Rattus norvegicus: one gene and its partners. The protein of the gene in region 7 interacts with the protein of the main gene of each other region in a pairwise test. Links are inferred from orthologs where the notes say so. Each region holds a gene or a part of one and is shown on either strand. Other genes may lie near its edges.

Region 1 (4,453 bases), on a different chromosome or scaffold from region 7:
ACAGGCACATGCATACTTGGGAACAAAACAGGGAGGGGACCGCTCACACACAAAACTTCCTTCTGGTCCTCAGTGCCTTCAAATAAATACAAAGACTGGAGGGGAAAAAAAAAAAAGGAAAAAGGAGGGCCCACACTAAACAACAAGTCTCTTCCATGTCCCGAAACGTGAGCTTGCAGGAAATTCTCTGAGGGCTGGCCGCCAGTCAGTCGTCCGTCTTGCGGGCCAGTCTACAGAAAGTCCAGTTGTGCTCTACTGTGTTCTCATTGGCCCGCTCGCTCATGTGATGCACCCGAGTATTGCGGATCGTGAAGCCTTGCTTCGTAATGTACTCCATCAGGTGGACCCGAAGGGAGACTTCCTGGTGGTAATCGCACGGTCCAAAGGTGAAAGAGACCTGACAGTCTCTGGTATCCATCATGTGTTTATTCCACTTGGTAAAATAGTTTGAGATGCCTTCCAGTAGGGAATGGACCTTGGTGGTGATGGTCAACTGGGTTATGATGACAGCCACGGGATTGGAGTATTTAGAAAGCTTCCGAGTACTGGACAGCTCTACAACTTCTTCAAAAGTATCCATAGGATACAAAGGCTTAGGGTCATTGAGACACTGAATCAGGGGCTCGATCTGGTAGAAGTCGGCCTCTTTCCGAAGCAGATCAAACTCCTTGAAGTCCAGGGGGAGCGTCAATTCTGAAGTCCGTAAGAAGTTGAGGACGTAACGGAAAAGCGGTCCGTCTCGATCGATGAAGTAATTGCCTTGAGGGTCTCTGGCTGTGGGGAAGTCACCTCCAAACATAGCTCCAAGCATAGAATCCGGGTAGCGTGTCAACGTGGTAAGAGATGTCGTGTACAAGTGTCCGCCTACATTTAACGTGACTGGGTCAGTCATCTGAAATTTTTAAAAATCCAATTAATTACCTGAAACCTTAAAAATCTTAACTAACAAATTTAAAAAATCAATACTAACAAGCAAGGCACAGACCCTTTCAAGCTAATGTGTCTGGAAGCACTAGGGGCCATAATGGCTTTATTTCCAATGATAAAACCTGCCCAAGAGAATGGCTTCAACATTTGCTTTCAAGCAGAGTAAATCTAATCCTTCAAAAGTTTGCCATAACCCTGCCAGGTCTGACCTTTAGCGAATCTAAAGAGGTTTTTGGGTCACATCTGCCTGCTTCTACTTCCCCCGTACTAGGATTAAAGGTGCATGCCACCACACCTGACAAAACCTTCCCTTTTTTTTAAAATCTAACATAAGCGGGTTAGGGATTTAGCTCAGTGGTAGAGTACTTGCCTAGCAAGCGCAAGGCCCTGGGTTCGGTCTCCAGCTCCAAAAGAAAGAAAAAAAAAAATCTAACATAAGCTAGAATATAAAAATAATCTGATAATGTAACAATAATTAATTTAGGGATTCTGTTGGATTTTTCTCCTCAAAGGAGTCTCGAGATCTAATTTTTTTTTTTTTGAGACAAAGTTTCGGATAACTTAGGCTGGCCTCACACTCCCTGTGTAGCTAAGGGCGGTCTAGAATTCCTGATTCTCCTACCTCTGTCCCACTGCTGAGACAGTGCTAGGATCACAGGTGTGCACTGTCTCACCCAGCCGTGAATGTACGTACGTACGTATGTATGTATGTATGTATGTACGTGTGCCTCATCTGAGCCAATGGTGTGGTTCTAGGAACTTGGAGTTGTGGATGGTTGTGAGTCATGGAGTAGGTGCTAAGAACCAAACCCAGGTCCTCTGCAAGAGCATAAGCACTCTTAACTGCTGACCCATCTCCCAAAATGTATTTAAAAACAAAAATTTGTTCAGAATCATTCTTAGTAATTTTTTTCAGGGAAGCATCAGTTTCTTCTTTTCTGCCTTTTGTTGTTGTTGGTGGTGGTGGTGGTGTTATGACAGCATCTTACTATACAGATAAAGCAGGCCGGAAACTCATAAGCCTCTACCTCCCAGGGGCTGATATTACAGGATATTACAGGCCTGTGCCACCATGCCCCGGAAATGAGTTCCAAACACTAAATTAAAATACATGGTTTGGTGAACCCAATCTAGCCCATCTACTAGCCCCAAACTACCACGTGCCAAACGGCCGGTAGCGGCTTTAAAATGTCATATCTGATCGTGTATTCATTTTTATAACATTAACGTTGTAATCTGACCTTTAATTCTGAGAAGCAAGCTTCTCAAACAAACAAACAAACAAACAAACAAAAAAAACCCCACACATTCAGCTTTAGAAATCCTATTTAAGGAAAAACAAGAAATGGTCTTCAGGTACTAAGAAAGCAAAAATATGTCTTACCAGATAGAGAAGGAAATAGGGATGCACGGACGCATGTGAAAACTGCATGAGAGAAGAACCACTTTCTAACTATTAATCCCATTCCTACAATAAAGCAGTCTCCGTTCCGTTATTCATAGGCCCTTTAAACATCACCATCCCATGAACAGAGAATGTAAAAAGCAATATACACCAACGACCGAAACATCAAGGTGTATCTGCAGTTAGTGGAGTTACTATGGGAGCAGGAGAGATGGCAGGAGTTAAATGCCATGTGCTAGTGAGGTGGACCTGAGCTCCATTCAGGTAGCTTGCAGTAGCTCCAGGGGAAATCACACGCCCTCTTCTGGCCTCTACGGGTACTGCATGCACTGCTCCTCCCACACATAATAACAAAAAAGGGCTATTTGGAGAATACCCATTGAGTCTAAAAACGTCAAACCAGATAAAAATGCCCTTCCCCAAATACATGGGGAATTAGATAAAGCTGGAAAAATCCATAGTCTGCATCCTTTTCAAGTAAACCTATGAATGCGAAAAGACATCCAAATTATTTGGGAGCCCGCAAAGTGAGCAAGCACTCACCATATAGCTCCAGTCTCCATTATCCATCTGCTCCAGCACTGCGTCTCCAGGAGCTCAGAAGCCAGGGAAACTCTGGAAGAAGAAAACCAAACACACAACCATGACAATGGAGAAGAAAAATGTTCTGCCAAATGTAGTTATTCAAACCTCACAAAAACTGCTCATTTATGGAACAGGTCAACTGGAAGCTACAGCAGGCCAAAGATGTGGAAAAACCACGCCATGCTCTGTCCTCGCCTCGGGAGCCCGCGGGGCACAAAGAACTAGCCTACGCTTGGGGAGAGAGGAAGGGACCATTGCGATCCTGTCATCCGGGCTGACAAGATGGCTCAGTAGGTGATCCCTACTGGGATTGGTCCCTGGGACCCTCATGTGGAAAGAAAAAACTGACCTCCACACGTGTCCTCTGACCCCACACTCACTCACACGCACCCACACACACAAAATAAATGCCATAAGAAAATTTACACGTTGTGTCACTCCCGCAGAGGTGTGATTTTTACATTTTCAGAGAACGTCACGATTGGGTCCTATGACCTTCATGACCAATTTTTGAACTTCATCGAAAAGGTCATTTGAGGGAAAAGGAGGGAGATTCCTTTGGATCACCATGCCAGCTGCATAAACCAAACATCTCAGTAAAAGCATTTAAAGTCGTGAGCTTCAAAAGTAACAGTCATTTTCCAAGAGAAACACACCAGGATAGTATCTTATAAAAAAAAAATTCAATCAGGGTTTCTAATCATGACGTATTCCTCTTTGTACATAAAAACAAACCAATTTAAATGACAAACTGTTAGGGCGCAATTTGGGACAAAAAAGACACTTATGGAGCTGGCTGAGGGTCACTCAGTGCTGCCTGCTTCAATCTGTTTTTATCTACCATTCAAGGGCGTGCTAGCCTTACCCAGCTACTCAGCTGCCTTCACTTCATCAGTTCCCTCTTGGGCACGCCATTCCCCAAATCAACCTGTCCAGCAAACCGCAGAGCAGATTTCAAAATCACTAGCAAAGAAGGCAGGAGCCTCGGGGCCCATCGTATTCACCCAGGAACGTCGCTTGCTCTGTATGTGGTCTTTGAAGATCCGTTTATCCCACTTTTGGAGGAATCTGGCCCCCATTTCCAGCACAAGAACAAGGCCTGGCTGCAGAAGATCACAAAGGCTCTTTCTCAAAAGGTCAATCAGGCGTGTGGAGAACATTTGCATGGCACAGCAGGGGACGAAACCAGAGCCTGCAGCCGCTAGTCTCTACCTTTACACATTCTTCAAAGCAAATAAAACTCAAGGAGAGGCAGTCAGCTGCCTTCCTCCGCTCCAGGCGGCTGGCTGCAGGCGGACCAGGCCTGAGTACTACTATGGTGAGATGAACAAATGAGAGGCCAGAGCTGCTGTGACGCCTTTTCATCCCTCTGACTAAACTCCACAAACCCCCATCTGAGGTAAAGGAAGAAATGAGCCTTACCAATGTGTTGGTTCCACTACAGATAACAGCGCACCAACAATGGAGGGAATTAAAGGCACTTCCTACTACTCGAAGTATTCTTCCCCAACTGCCTCAATAATGATCCAGCCAAAA
Region 2 (4,569 bases), on a different chromosome or scaffold from region 7:
GTCTCATTGTATAGTCCAGTCTAGCCTGGAACTCAGAGAGAACCACCTGCCTCCACCTCCCAAGTGCTGGGATTAAAGGCTATGAATTTTTTTTTAATGAGGGTCTTTTTACGTAGGTAGCCCTGGTTGTCCTGTCCTGGAACTCACCTTGTTAAACAGGCTGGCCTTGAACTCATAAAGATCCACCTGCCTCTGCCTCCCAAGTGTTGGGGTTAAAGGCACTATGAATAGAATTTTTTAAAACCTAAAAGCTGGAGATGGTGGTGCAGGATTTTAAACCCAGAACTTTTGGTAGGCAGAGACAAATGAATTTCTGAGTTACTGGCCAGCCTAGGGTACATAGTAAGTTCCAGGCCAGCCGAGGCTACACAGTGAGACCTTTTCTTTTTTCTTTTTTTTTTCTTTTCTTTTTTCTTTTTTTCGGAGCTGGGGACCGAACCCAAGAGACCTTTTCTTAATAAAATAAAATGACAAATAAATATACCTTGGGACCAAAAGAATATCCCCCTTGGCCTCCCTGGAAAGACCTAAGAAACTGATTTTGATCCATGGGTTACAGAGGGAGAACAGCTTTAAAGAGGTTCTCAGCTGTGGAGCCTGGCCTCTGCAAAGCAGCATACCATCTTCACTGCTGAGGGAGGAAAAGGCTAGCTTGGTCTTTCTCGAGAGACAATGCAGGTAACCATCAGGACAGTATTTTTAAAAAACACTCAAGACACAGACCCAAGCTGGGTTTTATTGAAATGCCAGGAGCAGGCACATGTCAAGGGAGCCAGGGAAGGAATATTGGTGATGCAGGCTATGAGTGTGCAGGGAGGAGCAGACCTCATGTCCGACCCTGCATCTCCTCTTGGCCAGAACACGTTAGGGTCCCAATAGCATGCTGAGTCCTGTAAGGGTCCTGCCACCTGGGCCATGATGGCTCCAAGGGCAGGGACTGGAAGCACTAAGTTTTCTCCCTTCTGAGGGAGGAAAGAAAAGGAAGAATGCAGGCTAAGTATAGTAGGGACAGAGGTGGCCAGGGCAGACTTTCTTGAGTATCTGCACCCAAGCTGTGGTCCTGGGCAGTGGTGGGGAGCAGCATCAAAGAGGCAGCCAAGGGCCTGGCCCTCAGAGAGCCAGAGCCCCAAACCTGTGGAGGTTGGAGTTGGCCCTGCACAGAGGTTCAAAGGGACTGAGTGCAGGCAGTTCCCAAGTCAATGAGTCCTCAGAGCTAGGGAGCTCAGCCTTCTTGGGACAAGGAAGAGAAGAAAGAAGGATCCATCCCCAGCTGGGAAGCAAAAGGTGGTCTCTCCTACTTGGCCCCATTAGGTCAGTTCTACATTGTTGGCACGATCCAGCACTCGAGAGCCACGGGCATTGCCTCCAAGCTGGAAACGGCTCTCATAGAGAGTGGGACAAAGGTGCCAGCGATTGGCTCGGTAGATGCCCAGGTAGGTGTAGACATCAGGTTTGTAAGTGAGCAAGCACTTAATGCCTGCAGCACGGATGGCAGAATCTGCCTCCAGTACTCCCAAGCGGTCCGTGAAGTCATCCGTGTAAACACAGATGACCTGGCGCCCACCCTCCTTGGCCCGTGGGCTCACCTTGGCCACCTGAAGACGGCCCTCAACTACAGCCCGGGCAATGCCAGCCCAGGCATGGTCCAGCTTGAAGCCAGGTGCCAGGTGAATCAGCCACTTGCCGGAGAGCACATGGTGGGTGATGGCCAGCTGGCGCAGGGTACCTGGTGTGATGGGTCGCCCACTGGTCTGCAGAGCCTCCCAGGCTGCCTGCAGCCCTTGTACATCCCCTGAATTGGGGGTGTAACCCTGCCCATAGGCTGCAATCCAGCCCACAGGTTCAGAGTTGGGTGAACCTGGGTCCCCATAGCGAGTAACTTGAGATGGTGGGTACTTGGCCAACCAGGCATCCAGCTCTGTGGCAGGTGTAGTACGGGCATCAAATACCAGCCAGGGGTCCATGTCAGCTGCCATGGCCTCTGCAGCCAGGTGCTCAGCAGTGAAGCCATCCTCACGACCACCTGGAGAGTCCTCCTCTTCCAGCTCTTCATTTGGTTCCATCCTGTTGTGAGGGAACTGAGTCAGAAGTTTGAGACAGTAAATAAAAAGTACTGGGTCCTAGAGGGTGCCAGGCACTGCTTTTAACTGTGGCCTTGGGCAAGTCTTAATGTCTGTGCCTCAGTTGCTTCATCTTCACAATGGGATAACAACTGATCCTGTCTAGATTTGTCTCTAGAATAAAATGCCTGAGGTGGAGTCGCTATTGTCAGTACTACTTTCACTGCTTAAAAACAAGGAAATTGAAACTCTGAGAAAAGGGGCTTGCCCAAGGTCATGTCTGTAAAGACCGTTAAAGCTTAAGTGTTAACTGGCACAGGACTCTGCTACACCACAGGACTAGAGTCTCGCAGGTAGCGCGGCGCTGCAATTTAATGGACGTAGGCAAAACGCAGGTTCGCCAATCTCAGAGGCTGGCTGGAGAGGGGCCAGGCCTCCCATGGTGAACTATTTGGGGCACACTTATCAACACCAAGACTCTGAGACCCAGAGAGGACAGCGGCCCATCTGGGGGTCAATGGGCAACATCCGGACTCGAACCTGATAGGACAGAGTCTGCGCGAGGACCAGGCTCCAGCCTTACCACACCCGCCGCCATTAGTGTTCACAGGTAAGGGTTGCCTCCACCCCCGGGCTGCCCTCTCGTCGCCCCACAGTCACCTCCGGCCTTCACTCCGCTCCGCGCCAACCCAACTTCGGGCCCGGCTCCGTTCCTGCCCGGGGTCTGCGCCGCCACCCCCGCCGCGCCCCGCCCCTGCCACGGCCGCCGCCGCCGCCGCCATCTTAGGGTCCCGCCACCTCAACAACAACTTTATAGACAAACACAGTCACGGGGCGGGGCCAGAGGCGGAACCAGAAGGCTAGGGGCGGGGGCTCCAGGGGAAGGGGCGGGCTGAGTTCAGGGGCGGAGCCAGCGCGAGAATCCCGGGAGGTGCAGGTCTTCAGGAGGCGGAGCTAACGTTCGTACTTTAGCTTGGAGGGCGGGTGGGCGTGGCGGGCGATCCCTGAGAAGGACGCGCACCGCCCTAGAGGATCCAAAGCCCAGCGCTTGGGTTTTGGGAGCTGCTTTTCTACGAACGGCACTAGGACCCTGCGAGAAGTGGTGTGGGCGGAGTAGGCGGCACCAGGACCGGGGGGAACCGCGGCCGGCTGGCGGCGAACAGGCCCGGGGCCTGGAGGCTGCGGGCGGCGGCGCTGGGCCCGGCGCAGCGTGAGAGGCCCCGAGATGCCAAGCAAGAAGAAGAAGTATAACGCGCGGTTTCCGCCGGTGAGCACGTGGCCGGGATGGGCCTCTGCAGGCTAGGTTCCTGGGAGGCTTGGGCCCAGGTCCTGCTGGTGGGGGGACGGGTGCTTTTAGGTGTTCATGGCCTGACGCCCCGCCCCTTCCATGCCCTCCTGGCTTAGTGCCCCCCGCCCTCTTCTCCTGGGATACCCCCCGGTTCACTCAGCTCCCCTGTAGAGACGCAGGAGACGAGCTCTGTCCCCTTCCCCTCGGCAGGCGCGGATCAAGAAGATCATGCAGACAGACGAAGAGATTGGGAAGGTGGCGGCAGCTGTGCCTGTCATCATCTGTATCCTACTAGGGGCTGGCTGGGCTGAGGGGCGTGGGGCGGGACTGCGGCACTCCCCTTTTTGGATTCTCCTTGACGTCCTCAGCCCGGGCACTTGAGCTCTTCCTGGAGTCTCTGTTGAAGAAGGCTTGCCAGGTGACCCAGTCTCGAAATGCCAAAACCATGACCACGTCCCACCTGTGAGTGGCCGCTAAGCTGGGCTTTTGAGGAGGCAGTGTTCTGACAGGGGGAGTGGTGCGCTGCTGAGGGAGGCCAGCTTTGTGGGTTTGGACTGATGTAGGAGAGATAAGGTGTTTCAGGTGGAGGGAACAACCAGAGCCAAGCCGCCCGCCCGGGAGGCCTGGTGGAAGTGGGGAGGGGTGTTCCACTGTACTGACACGAAAAGGTTGTTTCTATGATTCCGGAACATCAGTGTTTTGGGGGCCCTTTTTGAACACCTTCCTCTCCCACTTCTACAGGAAGCAGTGCATTGAGCTTGAACAGCAATTTGACTTCTTGAAAGACTTGGTGGCATCTGTGCCTGACATGCAGGGTGATGGGGAAGACAACCACACGGATGGGGACAAGGGTCCTCGAAGGTGGGTAACCAAAACCAGGTATATAAGTGGGAAAGGCCAAGGCCACAAGGGTTGGGGGTGGCTGGGGGGTGAAGAAGGGGAGAGAGTCCTCTGTGCAGATGGCCTGTACCTTCCCGAAGGGGCCGGAAACCAGGCAGCAGTGGCAGGAAGAATGGAGGCACAGGAAGCAAAAGCAAAGACAAAAAGCTGTCCGGGACAGACTCAGAACAGGAGGTGAGTGAGGCCGGTGGGGAAGGCCTGGTCTCATCCTTGTTACAGCCTTTGTATCTAACTCCATTGCCTTACCAGGGTTCTGGGCTCCCCAGAGAAGGGCCCAGACCTTCTCATTAACCTGACCCTTGCTGTGCTCACAGGATGAGT
Region 3 (3,784 bases), on a different chromosome or scaffold from region 7:
AAAAACAGAGAAGGCTGGCATCTCCAGGTGTGGTAGCACGCACCTTCAATCCCAGCACCAGAGGGTTGATGGCAGGCAGATCTGCGGCCTGCCAGGTCTACTTAGTGAGTTCTGGGCCAGCCAGAGACCCTGTCTTACAAGTTTCCAAACACCGTGGAGTACCCAGACGATAGGGGTGAAAGGTTTCCTGTGTGGTAGGTAGTGAGGTCCTTTCAGATGGGACCCACTGTGTTGGGGTGAGAGCAAGGAGCCATCTCCCCAAGAACATGCTAAGGTGGTGTCATTGGGACAGGGTTGTTCTCTTGCCAGCTCTGGCATAACTACAATTTTGGGCTCCATCCCAAAGTTGTAAGTTGGTTAGGCCCATGGCAGGCACTGAACCCACTAAGGCACACCCTCAGGGCTCTGCTAGGGATTAAAGTATTAGAGGGGTCAGATCCAGAATGCACCTGGAGACCCAGACGCCGAAGCCCACACCCTGAATTATGGCCCTATGTGGTCCCACAGGGCACATGCTCCTGGTGTGGTTACCTTGGCCAAGAGACCCTGTTGTGGAGCCCTTACCCCATTCTCCAACAGATGAAACCACTTCAGTCCTCTGGTTTTTATTTGCCTAATCTCTCCCCACATAGGTACCGAGGAAGGGTGACTTCAGAGGGTACACAGGGTTAGACCAGAGGCAGGGCAGCAGGAATGCCAGGGCTGGACCACCTGCTTCTGAGGCAAGTGTGGAAGATGAACAGAAGGAACCAGGCAGCCTTCAGGACCACGGAATGGAGTGGCTTCCCCAGGGGACTGACGACCTGTAACCTGGGCGTCCCTCCTTGCCCCACCACTTCCCCATGTAGCTCCTGCCTCTTTGGCAGGAAGCTGAAGCAGGAAAGAGGCTCAGGTTGTCTTTCCCTAGAGACCCGAGGCTAGCTGGGACCTGAGGCTAGCTGGGTATTGTTCTTGAAGGGTGGCCTGGGGTGGGGGACTCAAAAGGTGGCAGTTGTCCATGGCCCCTGGCAGGTGGGGCTGGCATTGCCCTTGCTGCTCCTCAGCTGGGGCTGAGTGCTGGGCTGCCCTCAGGGCTGTCGCTCACCAGGCATTCGTTGGATTTGAAGCTCGCCAGGGACTTGCAGCTGGGGATGGAGGCCAGGGAGCCGCAGAGGCCCAGCATGGAGGGCGTGGGGTCCTTCCCTGGGGAGAGAGGGCGGGTAAGGCTGGGCCAACCGGTCTGCGTGTATGTGGGGAGGAGGTCCTCATTGGTGGGCAGAAAGGGGGCTATTCTCATGTCATCCCTAGGAGACACGGCCTCTTCTGCAGCATCAGCCATTTTTAATTAAACCTTGATTGAACATCCCTTGCACAGGGCTTGAGACACTGTGTCATAAACCATCAGTTTATGTCTCTGTCTGCCCCTGAGGTTCAGCCTCTCTTTGTCCATTTATTAAGCACACAGTGAGCATTTGCTCTGTTTCACACTCTGGGGATACAGAGAATGGACAAGACATGGTCCCTGCCCGCGTGGAGCTCACAGTCTGGTGGGACACACACACACACACACACACACACACACACACACACAGAGTCACAAACACAGTGTGGTTAGGTTACATGTCCAAAGCCTGCCTTGCCTCAAAGTCAAGTTATCTGATACAGTATAATTATATATCTATATATTAAAGAAAAAAAAGACAGGAGGTCCAGGCATGGGGGGAAACTAGGAAGGGCGTAACCAAGGTGGAGGGGGGGGGTCAACACAAAACGCATGCGTTGAAGTCCTGGGCATTCACTCGGAGGGAGCCACTAATTTGGTTCTGAGCTTCCTGGCAGCCAAAGAGAAGGGGAAACATTGGTCAGGCAGGAGTTCACAGTGTGCGTGTGGGAAGAACTAACTAGGCTGAGGAATCCCGGGAGTAGCCCTGTGAGGATGTCATGACAGTAAAAAGCCACTGAGCCCTCTCCATACATGCACCCTGGAGGTTCCTGTTCCCAATATCTCTAATTTACAGATGGAAATAATGGGTCAGCAAAGTACAGAGGCTGACCAAGTTTAAAGGTTGAAGAGGTACAGCCCAAGTTGGGACTTTTTTTTTTTTTTTGAAACCCCAGGCCAAGCTCCTCATTGGCATATAAGTACAGGAAGGGCTGAGAGAATAAGGGGTTCAGCCATGGCCTGACTACCGGGCCTGTTCACTTTCTGAAGTGTGTGGGCAGGGTGTGCTCACCGATGGGGCCCCAGGGTTCCTCGTCCCTCTTGCCCTCACCCAGGCGCTGGGAGTCTGAGCTCAGGCTGGCCTCTGCAGACAGGGGCTCCGTACTCATGAAGCTGTGTCTATAGCAAAACAGGAAAGGGTGTGGGGAGTTACCCACAGCTCCAGGCCCTGCTTCCTGGGACTGGGATGTGGGGATAGCATTCGGCTGAGGCTTACCTCCGAAATAGCTTGGAGTTGCTGGCACCCTCCGGTCTACTGAGTGTGCTCAGGGAGGGCCACTGGTTGACCAGGGCTGTGGTGAGCTCCTTGGAACCCTGGGCCAGGGGGGCATGGTCACCGGGGATCAGACCTGTCCTGGGAGGGGGAGGGGGATCAGGCCTGGCTGGGAGAGGGAAGCAAGTCTCAGCAAAGGTGGGGGCCAGGGTTTAGAAAGGAAATTTGAGTGGTAAAAAAAATGGGGATATATGCTGCTCAGGGAGGGTGGCACATGTCTGGAATTATGGCACTAGGATCTCTGAGGTAAGAGGCTCACAAGTTCTGCTCCTTAGTAAGGTGGCCAGGATTAGTGATGGAGTGTTTAGAAATCAGTTGGGATGTTGTCGGGAGGAGAGTAGAAAGGGTGGGTGTTCTTGAAGGGGTGGGGTTTGTGCTAGCTAGCTGGGTCAGGTTCGGGGAGGTAATGTTCCAGGTTGGGGGAGGGGGTGTCACTGGGTGATGCCTATCAGAGGTCTGTACAATGGGGATGGTGCACAATAAAACAAGCCTGCTTAGGTCCTGTGAGGAATGGTTGGTGTCGCTAGCTGATGGGTATTGGAAGCTGCCAGGTTTTAAGGTGGGGGGCAGGTAATGTTTGGCCACCACAGGATCTTGGGAAAGAGGATGGGATGAGTGGGCTGATGCGAATTGGATGTCCTCATGATCCCATCCAATGGAGTCATGTTGGGGTTCACAGGGGTCAGGGCGGGAGGCGGGCTCACAGCTGCTCCTGCAGCTCCAGGATCACTCCTTCCAGCTCCCGCTTCTCACGCTGATTTTGTGCCGCTGCCTCCTCCAGCTGCAGCTGCAGCCGCCGGTTCTCCGCCTCCAGGTCCTTCAGCTGCGACTCCCGCAGACGCACCAGCTCCTCCAGGTATCCCTGCGGGGCGCCGGCTCAGCCCGGACACCCAAAGGGGTCCCGGCTGGGGTCCCAGCCCAGGCCCTGCCCCCACAGCGCCCAGCTCCCCGCGCCTCGCCCCGCGCACCTTCTGAGCGTAGACAATGCGAAACTTCTGTTCCATCTTGTGCCATTTGTTGTACCAACTGTCTTCATCGGTGACGAGGGGCAGGTAGGGGTGTTCTGGTGAGTTGTCCTCGCTGGTGCTGCTCTCTGCACTGTGCCTCTCCTCCTCATCCGTCAGGTAGTCGTAGCTTAGGAGCGGGAGCAGTGGGTGGGGCCGGCTCCGCCCCGCCTCGCCCCACTAGCACCCCAACTCCGACCCTTGGGCAGTGACACCAGGATGACACTCAGCGCCCTTCCGGTACCCATCTCCTCGCCCACCGCAATAACCGGGCTGCTCACCTTTGGGTGAATTTTAGGTAGGGTG
Region 4 (3,186 bases), on a different chromosome or scaffold from region 7:
AGTGCTCTTAACCACTGAGCAATCTCTCCAGCCCAACCTTGAGGATTTCAACCTTTTATAATTTGGGGGTTTTAGACTTTAGAGATTTTGATCTCTTATGGTTTGCTTTGTTTTCAACCTTTTTTGTATTGGGAAGAACTTTACCACTGAGGCTTACCCCAGTCCCAGGAGTTCAGGTATGGGAATGTATCTTTCAGAGTCATTCTTGACTGTTGCAAGCTGAGCTCCTCCTCACTCACACTCCTCAGTGTGGGCAGGAAGATTTCAGCTCTGAAAGTCCCTTTAAGGCCTCCCTTGGAGCAAGGTGTAATAGCACACAGCTGGAAACCCCTCCACACTGTCTGTAGTCCCAGTCTTCATATTGAAGGCTGGCCAAGGCTACAGTAGCAAGACCCTGGTTTTTTAAAAAGGCTACCTTTGAGACTGAGTAAGGACCCACTGCTGGGCTGAGCATATGCATGAACTACGCCATACACAGGGCAGTCATAGCATCATGGGTCCATAGCAGAGCTACACCAGCCCACAAATGATGATGAGGACCTTTCTTGCCAACAAAGTATTTTAATAGTTATAAAGTGTCTTAAAGTTTTCTACTGAAGTAAGATCCCAATGCTTATCGCCAGTCAACCCTAGGACACCCAAAGCCAGAGATCTGGTGGGCTGCCTCTGGGGCTGGATTAATATCTTGTGTCCAGAGGTGTACATCTCAGGAAATGATCCTCAGGGATGGCCTTTCCTCCTCCAGGGCCCGAAGCTGGTCTTCCACCTCATCCGTCCAGTAAATGTCATACAGGCTGTACACAGGCAAGCAGGAAAGATGAGTCGGGGTGCCCCTATTTACTATGCCCATCTTCCTGACAACCCTCTGAGCCACGTACACCACCTTCACCAACTACATCCACTTACACAAGCTGCTGAAGGGCGCAGCTGGGCTGTTTGAGGCTCTCCAGCAGTTGTAGGACACCGGTGTCCCCCATGCAGTTGTTACTGAGGTCCAGTTCCCTCAAGCTGCGGTTGGCCAGCAGGACAGTGGCAAGGCTGCTGCAGCCACTGTCTGTCACATCACAGTCTCCCAGCCTGGGTCGGGAGGACAGAGCTGTTCACATCTGAGCTTTGGCGGGAAGGCAGCCCTCCACACTTCAAATGTAGCTAAGCTTCCCTTGGCTGGATTAGAGAACTCTGGCTTCATACTCATGTCTCTCAGCACCAGGAGCCTGGCTAGGTCAGAAGCCTGTGCACCAAGGCTAAGCTACATCAGGATGCCCACTGAAAGTGGCAGGGTAGGCAGGCTTCCAGACTGAGGGAGAGTGGGACACAGGCCAAAGGTAAGTGGTCTAGCATCCATACCAATCAGAGGGAGCCCAGGAAGCCAGAATACTAGGGAGTACAAGGTACAAGTAGGCCAAGTGACATCAAGAAGCTGCTATAGATTGGCTCCCTGAGGTGTGCCCGAAATTTGCAGAACTGTATCTGTAGGTGATTGTAGCGGGCCCCAAGTCTCATGGAACAGGACCCACACTTCTTTCCCCAAGATTTCCAGATTATCCCACAATCAAGATGCTAGTTCCTGGACAGGAGAGACTACAGGGCTGTAATCCCCGTAGTGGCCTGGCCCACCCGTCAACTAGTGTCCAGTCCAGAATGACCGAGAGGCAAGATGTGCTGCCACAGAAGGTAAGGCTGAGGTAAATGGTAAAAGACAAAACACTAAGAGCAAAATGATACTCTGGACTGGCTAGAAAATGGGGAATCTTAGAAATGAGAACAAAAACTTAAAAAGAGGACAGGAATTGAATTGTTCTCCCTTAAAACCCAAGGACTGACTCCTGGATGCTGAGGGAGAAAGGAAAAGGAGAAAGATCAAGAAAGCACATTACTTGTCCAGGCCAAGACCCACATATAGGCAAATCAATAGCCCAGAGCACAATGGGTAGGAAAATTTAAGAGCTGCCAAAGAGGGCTGGGCTTACTTCCTGCCAAGCCCAACAAAGTGAATTCCATGCTTGGAACCCCATAGTAGAAAGACAACTGCAAGTTATTTTCTGACTTGCACATGCATACATGGTGTATGAACTTGGGCAAACACACGGGTAAACAGAAATGTAAAATTTAAAATCTGCCAAAAAACCAGGGGTGGTGACTCATGCCTTTAAATCCCAACACTTGGGGGGCAGATGCAGACAGATCTCTGAGCTCAAGGACAGCCTGGTCTACAAAAGCTAGTCCAGGACAACCAGGGCTCTGTTATACCAAGAAACCCTATCGTGGAAAACCAAGGAAGGAAAGAAGAAAGAAAAACTGCCAGAAAATAAAGTAAAATAGGCAGACACACAGGACACAGAGATCTTCCTGTGGCACAGCAGAGATCTCCCTGGAACCAGAAAGAAATAGAAATAAATACCCCAGGCTCTACATCTAGCTCAGTGACCAGCATGCACAGAGTACTAGAAACAAGAGTACTAGAGTGTAGAACTCATGCTTGGAAGGTAGAATGTGACTAAGGAAATGAAGGAACCCAGGCCCGGTGGTACAAGCTTATCCCTAGCACTCAGAAGGCAGAGACAGATATATTTCTGAGTTTGAGTACCAGGGCTACACAGACCCCATTTCAAAAGGGGGTGAGACAGGTCATCTCTCCCTGGGGCTTCTCACAGAAGGTGGCCAGAACGTGGAGCTATGCCTGCCTCTACAGCGCAGCACACTTACCAAAGCACACGCAGCACTGTGTCCGGATAGCCCAGGGCCTTGCAAAGCTCCACGACTCCCGAGTCTCCCAGCGGGTTGCTGCTCATTTGCAGCTCAAACAGAGAACGATTTTTGGTCAACACCGAGCAGAAGTGGGGACAAGAGGCAGCTGTGAGGCTACAGGTCTTTACCCTGTGGGAACAAAAAGGCTGGAGCCAGTAGCTCCACCTAGCCCTTCCCTTGGAGGTCCAGGAAGGGACCCAGCTGGCTCACCCACTCCCTTCCCCATTCTGCATCTGTTTATCTGCACCTCAATCTAGCACTGTCCTCCTCCTGACACCATCTCCCAGGGTCCACCAGCCTCTCCCAAACCCCACGTCACCCTAGCCTTTCTGTATTTTCTGTCCTGGATATACCTTAGCCTCCCTTGGGCCCTCACCACAGTGACTCCAGCTGACAGCCAGGCTCTAACAGGCTCTCACACAGCAGTTGGGCACCCTC
Region 5 (3,973 bases), on a different chromosome or scaffold from region 7:
ACCTGAAGGCACAAGGTTTCTCTCAGAGCCTGTGGGCCGTATCTTGAGTAGCTGGGACTAGTCAAGGGCTGAGCCTGGGAGACGGGAAAGGGCTGCAGGGTGGGCTGTGACTATCAAAAGTTGTCAAAACAATACTACTGCCCCTCCTAGGACTCTTGGGGCTCTGGGTCAGCCTCTATTCTAGCCCTGAACTTCACTTGTTAGACTAAAGCAGGGAAGGAGCTGGTCCTTGCTCAGATCTGGGGAGGTGCGTGAAGGCATCAGCACCAGAAGCTGCAGCAGAGGGACCAGCAGGGTCTGTGTGGGGTCTGATGCCTCCTCTCTGGGCCTAGCCTCTACCCTGGCTCAGGACTGCTTTTGGTAGATGCCATGCCCATCTGAGAAAAGGTTGTCTGTAGATTCCAAGGCCGGCGACTGCCTTGGAGTGCCTCAGACAACCGGAAATGTTGCTTCTTATGTCTACTTCAGGGAATACTGGAGTCAAGAATCCAGAATGTCTTCAGAATTGTGACCTTCCCTATAGGGATAGATCCCCCAACCCCACCCCATCCTTCAGGGCAACCTCTTTGGATCTTTTTGTTTGTTTGTTTGTTTGTTTGTTTTTTGAGACAGGGTTTCTCTGTGTAGCCCTGGCTGTCCTGGAACTCACTCAGGCTGGCCTTGAACTCAGAGGTCCGCTTGCCTCTGCATCCCAAGAATGTGTGCCCAAGAGGCTGCAGAGAAGCTAAGACCTCAGATGGCCTGGACACAGAGAGCCCTGCTCTACTATGAGAACCAAAAGACATCCTCAGAAAATTACACCCTGTCAGGTCTCCAGCCTCAGTTCCTGGCTACCACTTTACAAGCAAACTGCAAAGTGGCCCGGTAGTAACCATGTACCTACATCACCGCTAGGCTCTGGGCCCCCCAAGTGATCCCACCTGCCCTAGCACCCCTAGAAACTTTAGTCCTCAGCACCTCAGTGGGGCAGAGGAAGGTGACCAGGTGGCTGTTGCCCACCCAGGCAGAATTCAGGGGCATCAGACAAAGATGAGTGAAGGACACTGCACACTTATGCTGGCTCTGGACGCCAGGTGTCCTGGGAGGCTGAGTCACAGGTCCAAGTTCTTAGTGGGTTACAGAAACAAGTTCATTTTGTTCCAAGGTCAGAAGTGGAATTCACAGGGGTTGGGGATTTAGCTCAGTGGCAGAGCGCTTGTCTAGCAAGCTCAAGGCCCTGGGTTCAGTCCCCAGCTCCAGAAAAAAAAAAAAAAAGACAGAAGTGGAGTTCAGGCTAGAGTTGGGATTCATAGACACTGTAGGGTGGTTTGGGATGGTGGTTCACAGGGAAAGCGGTGTCTGAGGTCACGCTGGGATTAGAACTGAATGGAGAGATAGCAGGCAGGGCCACAGCCAACTTCCCATCAGTCCTGCGTATACTGCAGCAGGCCCAGGGTCTCTCCCCGTTTGGCCAAGGTCGCTCAGAAAAGACAAACTTTGTGGGACACACACACACACACACACACACACACACGGGGCTCAGGCAGCTTGGCAGCGAGGATCAAGTAAGTCTGACTTTTGAATTATTGAGTCAGGGGAGTTCTAGGCCTCTTGCCCTTAAACAGGACCTTGGCACTGTGAAGAAGGGAGGAGCCCACACATCCCAGGGTGCCCCACAGTAGCCCAGGCTCACTTGGTGTTGTCTGAATCAATGGTGTGGAAGAGGCCCTCCAGCTCCTTCTCATTGAGGACGCCATCCGCGAAGAACAGTTGAAATTCCTCAAGGGACAGTTTCCCGTCGTCTGCAATGGACAGGCAAGGAAACAAGTGACTGCTTGTCTCAGAGAAGAGAGCGCATGGTAGCCTACAGCCTGTCCTCAGCTGACAAACTCCCTGTTGTCAGCCTGAGGCCTACTGACAGGTAATCCCAAACCATCGGAGACAACTGGTTTCTGGGGAGCAGATACCTTCATGCTCTATCAGGCAATCACCCCTTCTGCTCTCCCCTCAGTCATCTGACATAGACATTATTTTTTTTTTTTTTGGTTCTTTTTTTCGGAGCTGGGGACCGAACCCAGGGCCTTGCGCTTCCTAGGTAAGCGCTCTACCACTGAGCTAAATCCCCAGCCCCCTTACATAGACATTATTTAAGCAACATGCTTAACCTGATACCACTAGCCTATCAGGGATCATGCTCAATCCAAGCCCCAGGTCCCAGCTCTGAAGCAGTCTGAAGATAGTCCTTCTATTCCGTCCTTCCTCAAGGCAACAGCAGGCTGAGCTCAGACCTTCAACCTACCCTAGAGCAGGACTTTGTGCCACATGGTAGGTAACAGCACAGTCCCCCACCTTTTGGGTGAGGGGTAGTCAGTGGCTCCATATTTCATGGCGTAGCTGGGCTGCATGGAAAAGCTGAAGCCAATGCTAGATTCAATGAATGTGTGCTGTAATTGATTAGTCATGTCTGTCCCGGGCACAGCATGGGGTGTGCTAACACCAGGCCAGGCTTCCCTCTTGACTGTTTCCACCTGCTTATCATGGATGGTACCTCAGTGTCCTCTGTACCCAGAGAGAACAGGAAGCTGGAAGACAGGGCCTGCAGATCCTCTGACATTTACCTTGGGTGCTAGTCACAGGCCTAATGAGCACAGATGAGCTATTAAGAGGAAAATATCCTCCACTTGGCCTCTGGTCCAATTAGAGAAGACAAGTTGTCCTGCAGTTTCATCACCTCTGCCAATGACCCAAGTGGGGCTGTTTGCAGGTGGTGCTACTAATGAGCAGGAGCCCAGCCTGCAGCAATGACCTTTCAAATAGCAGGAACCTGTGAGCCTCACATCCTTGGATGGAAGGGCTGGCTGGTCCTCACCCTTCTGCTGAACAACAATGCCAGTCTTTGAGGGTGATACCCAGGCCTCTCACACTAGCCTTCCCTTGGGGATTAGCTACCCCGTGTCTACCACATCCAAGCTAGTCAATCATGAGAGCCTCCCAGAGACACTCAGCCTTGTTCTCATAATGGAAGGCATCTTGCATACATTGGCAGATGTATGCATTGGCACAGAGGCCCTCCTGTGCTTTGGGCACAATGGCCTCAACGGAGAAGACAAGTTCAATCACCCAACCTGTGGGAGTGGTGGGGGTCAGGAGGGTGCAGTCTAAGGCTCCAAGCTGACACTCCTGTGACCTGTGTGGGGGGCAGGGGCCAGGCCTCTTTCCCTGGGTAGTATAGGCTCTGCACAGTGCTACCACACCTTTGGTACCCTACATCCCTGTGTTGTGTGTGGAATCTGCAGGTGGTCCCCAAGGCCTGGGAAGATGCATACCATCCCTGGGACAGGCCCAAGAGGGCAACACTCCTCTATAATGATCCTAGCCCAAGCCTGTCCCCCTGTCCTTCCAGATCCCAAAGAGCTCCATCCCAACCCACAACCACGTGGGACAGTTAACAACAGCTCCTAGGAAGGGCAGAGGAGGTGGACAAGGCCGGAGCCACCTTGAATTAAAACCCACTTGGGAAGGGCCTCAGGGCAGGTGACAGGCAAGGGTTCTCTTCTGCAGTGTTGTAGGTCACCCACGTACATCTCTTTACCTCACCCCAAAGCTCAGGGCAACACAGGACAGCTGTTACCACGTCAGCTTACAGAAGGGGAAACCGAGGCACAGAGCAGTGACAGCACTTAGCCTCTGGATTTCTTGCACTCTTCACCCTCAGGTCCATAGTCGTCCATGTTCCCACCCCTAGCTGTTTCCCATGAAGCACCAGGACAGGGAGAGTGCGGGCAACGAAGCACCTAGAAGGAAACTCACCGTTTTTATCCGCACGGCGGAAAATCTGGAGAGAGGAGGGCTGGAGTCAGTCCTGAGATGAGTCTGGGCAGGTGCCCTGAGCAGCCTCGTAACCCAGCTTGAGATCCCTCTCCCAGGAACAGCTTGGGTGAAGCCCAAACTTCCCCAGGAGACCTCCAGGCTGGGACCCAGGTTGGAGAGACTG
Region 6 (3,973 bases), about 41 Mb from region 7:
AATAAATAAATAAACAAACGAATAAATACATCTTAATAAAAAGGAATTACACGATAGTGTTAAAGATGGTCCAGCAGTCAAGAGCACTTGCTGTGTTTGCACAAGACAGGTTCCACCTTCACTACCCATGGGGGCAGTTGTAAACTGCACGCAACTTCACCCCCATATCCGATGTCTTCAGAGGGCACCCCACACATACCCCACTCACACAGTTAGTCTTCACTTTCCTTTTCATCAGCATACAAACTATAAAGCACTGAAAAGTAAGAGGCTGTGTGTCTCCTGAACCAGAGCCTGAGTACAAACGTGTCTGAGAGCTTCTGACAATTAACAATTATTGAGAAAAGCAACTAACTACCCCTCCCCAGAAGGCACTATTTCCAAAGCACTGCTGCAACACTGCAGGTCAGGCCTGACAACCGCTAGTGATGAAGATGAAAATCTCAGTTTCTGCCACAGAGCACTAACACACATTGTGCTTACACCAGACAAAACCAGACACTTATACCTCTCAAGTGATTCCCTTAAAAAATTAAAGAAACACTTACCTTTTTCAACTTAGGTAGCTTCGGGAGGTCTGAAACTGAAAACAAGCCTACATTTATTAAACTGAGGAACTCTAAGTTCACAAATTCATCTGTTAACCCCTCGATTTTTCCATCATTTGCTTTGCAATTGTCCAAGACAAGTTCTTGAACCTGTGGGTATAAACAAAAACAGGAATAAGCTTTAAAAACTGTAACAGGAAACAACAAAAGCAAACAACTCTAAATACAATCCTGCGAAACTTCCAAATTCAAAATAGCATTCATGTACGAGTAGGATCAGCTACAAATAAAGCAAGCAGGATTAGCTTTGTAGCAGCATAGTACTAAGACCCAAAGACAACTGCTAGTTCATAACACACACACACACACACACACACACACACACACACACACACACACACACACACACACACACACACACGGGTGTGTGGGTGGTGATGGTGCGTGCACATACTCTATATCCTACCAAGAGGCACAACAGCTCTCAGAACGTAAGTGAACCTGTGTCCCTGTCCTTTCCATGGCTGGGTCTGGAAAGGGCTTCGTCTTAAGTTCAAGTGCAGAGCGAAGAAACCCTTTCAGGCTTTCTCTCTCTCTCCAAGTCCACGAAGGGCATGGCCATAGGGAGATGAACACTTTGCTTCTGCCACAAAAGTCACCAAGGCACTTGAGCACTTGATCAAGGATCCTGCTGCTTGAAGCAGGATAATCGATCTTACCGCCACTCTCTACAATGTGAACCAGGCTGCCCCCAAACTCATAGACTTCCCCTGTCTTTCTCTGCCTCGTAAGTGCTGGGGTTAACAGCATACACCAACCACCATGCCTGGCTTTTCCTTGCCATTTTCAAACGAAAAAGTCACAAATAAATCCTAGTAAGGATTTTTACACCTGCACACTCTCCAGTTTCAGATCTTTTCTGTTTTGTTTTAAAGAGGGTCTGACTATGTAGCTCTAGCTGACCTAGACTTTGAGATGTTGACATCTGTCTTCTCTGACTCAGAGACCCGACTGCCTCTGCCTTGTGAGTGCTGGTACTGAACTGTGCCGAGCTAAGACGATTTTCATTCTCGTATAATAATAAAATTAAAATGTCCTAAGATATGACACTAATATGTCCAAAACAAGTGGGGAGGAATTAAAGATTATGCCACACTGCCTCCCAAATGGGATGAAAATTTTCTCCTTGATCCTTCTTTTAATTGCTAAGATTCTGTCCAGTTTAACTACTGTGTGGGATGATAAGAAACTTCCCTAGGGGGTTGAGGGGGAACAAAATATTATGGCAGCTCTATCACTGAGCAGACTTAGGCGCATTCTAAATGTAAAGCCAACATTGCTGCTGTACAAAGAAACCCTATCATGGCAAGCACCACAGGACATTCAAATACGGGCTAAAATACATTTGCTAAGGCAAATAGCAAAATGGAGATTATAAAGGAGACTGGGGAAAGGGCCCAAAGTGGTTGACCACATGCAGGCCTGAGTCTGGTGTTGGACAGGGACATTGAGAGAGGACTTAGGTTCTGGTTTAAGGAAATGCGAACCTACGAGGAAATAAAGAACAGCACTTTGAGGAGAAACAATGAATGCTATAGCTGGAGACACACTCAGAATCTCAATGGTGGTCTGGATTCAGGCCTGTACTCATGAGTCATCAAGGAAGAATAAGTGGCAGGAACCTGGTATTCCTAGAAAAAGCATCAAGGATTGAACTCAGGGCAATTAAGAAAAAGACAGGCAAGGTGCCCAAAGCTAAAAACACCCTCCCCAAGACAGGGTAGGGTTTCTCTGTGTAGGCCGGGCTATCCTGGAACTCAAGAGACCTTCCTGCCTCTGCCTCCCAAGTGGTGGAACTGAAGACTTCATTTTAAACCCCAGGAAAGCTGGCTCATAAACTAAGGTGGGCATGGTGACAAGACATCTGTGATCCCAGCACTTGGGAGGCTGAGGCAGAGGACTGAAAGCTGAAGGGAGTGTGAGCTGGTCAGGTGAGTGCAGTCAGTTCCAGGTCAACCTCAACTACAAAGTAAACCTCAAAAAATATATAAAAATAAAATAAGACGACCTGAACACAGCCAAGCATGTGATGTCTCACTTGGGAGGTAGAACAGGACTTCAACAAGCCTTTCTGCCATAGCAAAGACAACATATTAAAACTGTTCCGTGGGGGGGGGGGGGGGCTGGAGAGATGGCTCAGCAGTTAAGAGCACCCGACTGCTCTTCCAGAGGTCCTGAGTTCAATTCCCAGCAACCACATGGTGGCTCACAACCATCTGTAAGGAGATCCGATGCCATCTTCTGGTGTATCTGAAGACAGCTACAGTGTACTCATATATAATAAATAAATCTTAAAAAAAAAAAAAAAAGGACTGTTCCGTGGGAAAGCACTACTGTGCTGTGAGCTCAACTCCCCATCGCTCATATAAAAATATAGCAGAAAATTGACTACACAATGGGCCTGACTCCCACATGTACACTGTGGCACTTGCATGACCCTTGCACATCACACACATATTAACTTTTTAAACTTTAGAACAAAACTGAAGTGGGCAGGAGTGACACTGAACTTCTTGGTGAAAGTGCACCCCACCCTGCCCTGCCCCACCTCCCATGATGCACCTGTGTGGGCTATGTTCCAAAATAAAGGACAAGCAGCTCAGGAAACATTCACTGTGGTAGTTTGAATAGGACTGCCTCTCATAAACTCACATCTTTGAACGCTTGACCCAAGGGAGTAGCACTATTCATTAGGAGAAGCCTTGTTAGAGTAGATGTAGCCTTGTTCAAAAATGGTGTCATTGGGGGTGAGGGAGGGAAGAGGTGGGAGGGCTCAGATGCTCAATAATCACTACCTGCTACCTAGGAATCAACCCTCAGCTCCTTCTCCAGCACCAAGTCTGCCTGCATGCCACCACGTTTCTAGCCATGAATATCAACAGACTAAACCTCTATATTGAAAGCCAGACCCTTTTAAATTTTTTCTTCATAGAGTTGCTGTGGTCATGGTGTCTCCTCCTAGCAATAAAACCCTAAGACTTTTGATTTTAAGCAGGAGTAGGTAGTATGGCTAAGAAAAGACAGGTCTGACTTCCAGAAATGCCCAGATGAGTCAGTTGGAGTTGCCACATCAGGGCAAGCCGTAAGGCTGCACTCAGAGAAGGTCTTAAGTGTCACTGGCTAGCCACCTTCAAGTCTGTAACGTCCTTGACAGAGTCTGAGCTGGTGGTGGTCAGGCCAGTTTCTCAGGAAGCTGAGGCATTAAGGCATGGCAGTAGTACACGTCAGTAATCTTAGAACACAGGTAGAGGTGACAAGGTGCAGGGTAGGCAGGAGTTTGAGATCAGCCTTCATGGCACAGAAGTTCTAGGTAAGCCCTGAGTTCATAAGACAGTCTTGAAGAACCAAAAAATACACGCTGGAGA
Region 7 (4,187 bases):
GCCCAGCTTCTGAGAATCTGGGGGAGGAGTAGCTGTTCTTATAACAGGAAGTCTATTACTGTGTATAGCAATGGTTTATATTTCATTATGCTACGAAATGTTCATCTTTTCTACATTAAAAATATTTTTCTGTAATGAAAGCACTTTCTCCCTTGTCTTATTTAAATAATCACAAGTACTAATCCTTCTACAAAACCATACTTAATGACACAAATACAATTTCATTTCTTTTGGACCTACATTCAGAACAAGTCCATAGAGCAAGGTAGATAATCAAACTGGGAATTATAAATTTCCAACAAGGTAGCCTATATAGAGCCTGCAAAGATTTTTTTTTTTTCCGTTCAGTCTCTGAACAGCAGCTACAAATTTTCTGTGCTATTGGAAGCATGGTTACAGTGAAAAGGACAAATTCTTGAGCCAGACTAAAGTAGTAGAACCCCGAGTTAGTTTTAAGTGTCACTAATACATGTGGATGGTCTCTGGCTTTACTAGGGACCCAGCAGCCTTTCCAGGTTCCTTTGACGCCCGGTATGCAGGGAGAAGGTGGCCACAGGCTGGGCATCTAGGCCTCCCAGCAAGTGTGGTCCCATGACATCAAGTGTGCAGGGTGAAGAGGGCCACGGCCTGGCCAATAAAGACTCCCAGCTAGTGTACTGCCAGACAGTCTGAGCTCTAGGACTGTCTTAAGAGACCCTGGGTGTCAGGCAACCTCACAGTAAGGACTGATGCAATCACAGACAGACTGACATTTAATATTTTTATACATTTAATAGGATAATATCACATAAAATAATAAGATAGGCACAAACTAAGAAGGAAAGAGTCAGGATAAAGTGTCATTGCCATTTTTGTTTGCAGGATAGAGTCAGAAAATGGAACAAACTGAGATGACTAGGGAAACATTCTAAACCCACCCCAACCTAGCTAAAGTTACATAATGTTAGGACTCAAGTGCCAAATTAGATATTACCCACTTAATCTACGAGTGAAAAAGAGACTCCAAAATTTATCCTATTTAGTATAACAACTTTTACATGAAATATATAGCAATTTGTATCTCAGAAAGCAATACGGCAACTCTTAGGCGTTTCCTTTATGCAGTGACTAGAAAATCTTGGTACAGCTAGGCAGCTCTGCGACACCAGTAAGCTGCTCAGGGCTAGCATAGAACAGCTTGATAGAGAGCTAACCTCTCAGGTTTCAGAAGGCAGCAATAATTCTATTTTGGCTTTTATTCTAAATGCTTACTGTAGTTAAGGCGACAACTGAAGCACATTAAGTGAAGGTAGTTAGAATTTAGTGACAATCATTAGTCTCTTGCCACCTACACAGAACTGTATAATGCTTTTGTGGAATGGAAGTGTTGATTAACTGGAATTTTACACACTCACACACAAACTTAAAAAGTAGCGATCAAAGGCAATCATCCTACAGGTACTATGCTGATGTACTACAATCCACATATGCCACAGAACTGAAGCACGTGCCTAGCACTGTGCACTTCTCGGAGAAAGCAGACCAGTTCTCGGACACAGCTAAGCCTACACCAGTCATCCTAATCACAATGGCTTATAGAAAAACATCAGGTTCCCAGTAAAGAACCAAGTCTAGAAAGTCAGGGAATCTTTTGAGAGTTTCACATCTGTAAAACCAGGATAAGGCTACACCTATCTTAAAATCTGAAGACGCTCTCAGATAGAGTGAGGTTCCCAGCCATGGTGGAAGATAGACAGGTCTCCATGCAGCACAGTCTCCCTGGATCCGGGAAAGCTTCATGTGCGGTGAAATAGAGAAGTTGCCGAAGAGGAAGACTGGAAGCGTTCGGCGGTGATGCACTGTACAAGGTTTAAACTTCAGGAATGGTGTGATCCATCAGGCTTTTCATAATGCTGGGAGCCATCCTACAAGAGAGCCACTCATGTAACTGGCGTCTTATTTTCAAAAATACCATGTTCACCTAAGACAACCCCAGTTCCAGTTTAGCACCTGTTGTGCTGATGAATTTGATGAAGAAGGAAAGGTCTTTAAATGAGCACAGATCTAAGGAACTAATATCTGAGTTGTCACAAACTGTCCAGGAAGAATAGATATTTACGTCAGGGATAGACATGCGAGAAGGTGCGAGGCCTTTACACTAAGACTGGTTGTTTAACTGAAATGGACGACTGTGATGACTCAGAAGAAAAGGAGGGAGGATAAGGAACCTACCATAGTTAAAAAAGACTGTACAACAATCAACTCTTTTTCCTGCTCTGAGGGTAGCTAGCTTCATTCTACCCAAAACCCAAACATATAAACAAAAATCCATTACAAAGGTTACGTTTATGTATATTCCAAATCTCACTTTCATGTGCTATATCAGGGCTCTGGAAGAAGTGTGTCCAAGACAGCATGGCAACAGCTATGAAGGAACAAAGGATCTGAAAACTCTGGATAGAACCACCTTGCTGGCCTATGACTGTACCCTCTTCGGTTCCCAAGGACAGATAGTGAGCACCATGCAGCTCTCTACTTTCTAAAACACAGGAGAGAACAGCAACAGCCACTCTCAATACCTCGCAGGCAAGCCACCCATTAGGAACCACCGTGACCAGATTTCTAATCTAATATGCAGAAGACCTGCAAGCCGAAGGCAGTGTTTACATGTGTGTCAGGTGCTGGCAAGCATAAGTGGAAGAGCTCCCAATCTACTTACCGTTTAATAATATGTTCGAAGATAAAGGCAGGCATGATTGTGATGGTGACCACAGTCCCAGCTGTTGACAGTATATCTGCAATCTGAGCATCCTGATGAAACAATAGAATGAAGTTTCACTAAGGTGTTCTCTATTGTTAGGTAAAAAAGGCACTATATTTTGATGTTGTCCTGCTGATATCGCTGGAGTCCCAGTCCCGGTATGTCAGAATTTTGATTTTAATCTGACATATAATTTTCTTAAGCTAGTAGCAAAGTTAAGGTACGGAACAAAACTCTTTTTTCTTGCTTGAGAACTACCTGCGCCACAGTTAACTGTGTTCTAGAATTTATGGACTTAGTCAAAATCTACAAAAATACAAAGGATTACTAAGTACCAAGACTTACTCCTTTTCTGTATTTCTGGAATGAAAAAATTGGCCATGCATCCATTCAGAATGTCTGAATATTTCCCTGCCCATGTCTCAACAGAATTCTAGCTTAAGGAATGCCCGTAATCACAGTTTAGCCACCTTGGCATAGGAAAGGTAATTCAAATAACCCAAAGTTACTTCTGGATGGCCTAAGCTAGAGCCAGAGCCCCAGCTCCTGCACTTACCTCCCACCAAGTGTGACTGGGGGGTCATCACAAAAGCCCTGCCACCTAAATGATGTTTTCTACAAAAAAATGACACCGAAACCAGGATCCTTACCTTCAAGGTAAGGTGAGTTCCTTACCTTCAAGCCAATGACGTTCTGTCCGTTGATCTCACAGATGTGGTGATCAGTGAGAAGGCCGTTTCTGGCAGCAGAACTGTCTTTCACTATGGATGTGATTTTTCCACTTTTAAAGATAAAGCCAACATGTCCACTGCTGTCCTTATGCATGGTAACTGTCCGTTCAAAGGGTCTGAAGCATAAGGGCTGTGTTAGACGGAAACTTCCACTTCCTATTTCAATACACACGCATGCCTACAAACTCTGCCACATGGGGTATGTTGCTACAGTAAGCGCTAGGTGTTTCTAATAATCTATTATGGTTAACATGTCACACGGGTTGACTGACTCACTACTGAGATACCCTGTTAGTGTGAGGAGAGAGCATAGTGCTCCATGGAGTTATCACTGCGCTTTCCCTCCACAGCCCACATACCTTGCGTTAACAGTGAGCCAGATGCCCTTCCACTAAACCACTAAGTCCTTCCAGCACCTCTGGAACCAGCTGGTCTCAGACATTTAAGCCTTAAACTTCCCTGCACTTTCCACATCTCAGTTTTGACATTTTCACGGATTCGTTCCTTTCACTTACTTACTAGGTGTGCTATGCATAAAGTGTAAGTTGCAGGATGAGCTCTCCCCACCACGTGCGCCAGGACCCCACCTAGGTGGCCGGGATTACAGGCAAAACTTGGCTCTAATGTGAAAGACCCACCAGAGAAGCAGTGAGTGGGGGTTCATGAGGCCTGACTGGACGGGAAGGCACAAGCTACAGTTAAAAAGGCCTCGAGCT

Evidence for each region.
Region 1: the proteins of Sdcbp (region 7) and Kctd6 interact in binary tests that used the Homo sapiens proteins (3 or more experiments, as listed by UniProt). The two-hybrid records come from large-scale screens. The link is inferred for Rattus norvegicus from reciprocal best matches to the Homo sapiens genes SDCBP and KCTD6.
Region 2: the proteins of Sdcbp (region 7) and Bles03 interact in binary tests that used the Homo sapiens proteins (3 or more experiments, as listed by UniProt). The two-hybrid records come from large-scale screens. The link is inferred for Rattus norvegicus from reciprocal best matches to the Homo sapiens genes SDCBP and C11orf68.
Region 3: the proteins of Sdcbp (region 7) and Rundc3a interact in binary tests that used the Homo sapiens proteins (3 or more experiments, as listed by UniProt). The two-hybrid records come from large-scale screens. The link is inferred for Rattus norvegicus from reciprocal best matches to the Homo sapiens genes SDCBP and RUNDC3A.
Region 4: the proteins of Sdcbp (region 7) and Rnh1 interact in binary tests that used the Homo sapiens proteins (3 or more experiments, as listed by UniProt). The link is inferred for Rattus norvegicus from reciprocal best matches to the Homo sapiens genes SDCBP and RNH1.
Region 5: the proteins of Sdcbp (region 7) and Necab2 interact in binary tests that used the Homo sapiens proteins (3 or more experiments, as listed by UniProt). The two-hybrid records come from large-scale screens. The link is inferred for Rattus norvegicus from reciprocal best matches to the Homo sapiens genes SDCBP and NECAB2.
Region 6: the proteins of Sdcbp (region 7) and Anp32b interact in binary tests that used the Homo sapiens proteins (3 or more experiments, as listed by UniProt). The two-hybrid records come from large-scale screens. The link is inferred for Rattus norvegicus from reciprocal best matches to the Homo sapiens genes SDCBP and ANP32B.

Annotation. Positions count from the first base shown.
Region 1 is NC_086033.1:19,125,985-19,130,437, forward strand, and holds the start of Kctd6 (BTB/POZ domain-containing protein KCTD6), read right to left. Parts: upstream 2,948-4,453; 5' UTR 2,903-2,947; coding exon 2,876-2,902; intron 893-2,875; coding exon 206-892; 3' UTR 1-205. UniProt on the Homo sapiens protein: Probable substrate-specific adapter of a BCR (BTB-CUL3-RBX1) E3 ubiquitin-protein ligase complex mediating the ubiquitination and subsequent proteasomal degradation of target proteins.
Region 2 is NC_086019.1:212,162,274-212,166,842, reverse strand, and holds Bles03 (UPF0696 protein C11orf68 homolog), read right to left. Parts: upstream 2,952-4,569; 5' UTR 2,843-2,951; coding exon 2,721-2,842; intron 2,079-2,720; coding exon of another isoform or gene 2,065-2,078; coding exon 1,308-2,064; 3' UTR 697-1,307; downstream 1-696. Other genes in the region: Drap1 (dr1-associated corepressor), read left to right, coding at 3,286-3,327, 3,559-3,631, 3,717-3,810, 4,090-4,209, 4,308-4,422, 4,563-4,569.
Region 3 is NC_086028.1:87,858,709-87,862,492, reverse strand, and holds the end of Rundc3a (RUN domain-containing protein 3A), read right to left. Parts: coding exon 3,760-3,784; intron 3,609-3,759; coding exon 3,443-3,608; intron 3,337-3,442; coding exon 3,179-3,336; intron 2,580-3,178; coding exon 2,418-2,579; intron 2,321-2,417; coding exon 2,214-2,320; intron 1,812-2,213; coding exon of another isoform or gene 1,792-1,811; exon of another isoform or gene 1,183-1,791; coding exon 1,040-1,182; 3' UTR 590-1,039; downstream 1-589. UniProt on the Homo sapiens protein: May act as an effector of RAP2A in neuronal cells.
Region 4 is NC_086019.1:205,698,341-205,701,526, forward strand, and holds the end of Rnh1 (ribonuclease inhibitor), read right to left. Parts: coding exon 3,125-3,186; intron 2,878-3,124; coding exon 2,707-2,877; intron 1,078-2,706; coding exon 907-1,077; intron 795-906; coding exon 707-794; 3' UTR 546-706; downstream 1-545. UniProt on the Homo sapiens protein: Ribonuclease inhibitor which inhibits RNASE1, RNASE2 and angiogenin (ANG). May play a role in redox homeostasis. Required to inhibit the cytotoxic tRNA ribonuclease activity of ANG in the cytoplasm in absence of stress.
Region 5 is NC_086037.1:64,412,776-64,416,748, reverse strand, and holds part of Necab2 (N-terminal EF-hand calcium-binding protein 2), read right to left. Parts: coding exon of another isoform or gene 3,815-3,973; coding exon 3,790-3,814; intron 1,782-3,789; coding exon 1,673-1,781; intron 1-1,672. UniProt on the Homo sapiens protein: May act as a signaling scaffold protein that senses intracellular calcium.
Region 6 is NC_086023.1:65,545,115-65,549,087, reverse strand, and holds part of Anp32b (acidic leucine-rich nuclear phosphoprotein 32 family member B), read right to left. Parts: intron 699-3,973; coding exon 549-698; intron 1-548. UniProt on the Homo sapiens protein: Multifunctional protein that is involved in the regulation of many processes including cell proliferation, apoptosis, cell cycle progression or transcription.
Region 7 is NC_086023.1:24,311,272-24,315,458, reverse strand, and holds the end of Sdcbp (syntenin-1), read right to left. Parts: intron 3,588-4,187; coding exon 3,416-3,587; intron 2,791-3,415; coding exon 2,699-2,790; intron 1,905-2,698; coding exon 1,850-1,904; 3' UTR 747-1,849; downstream 1-746. UniProt on the Homo sapiens protein: Multifunctional adapter protein involved in diverse array of functions including trafficking of transmembrane proteins, neuro and immunomodulation, exosome biogenesis, and tumorigenesis.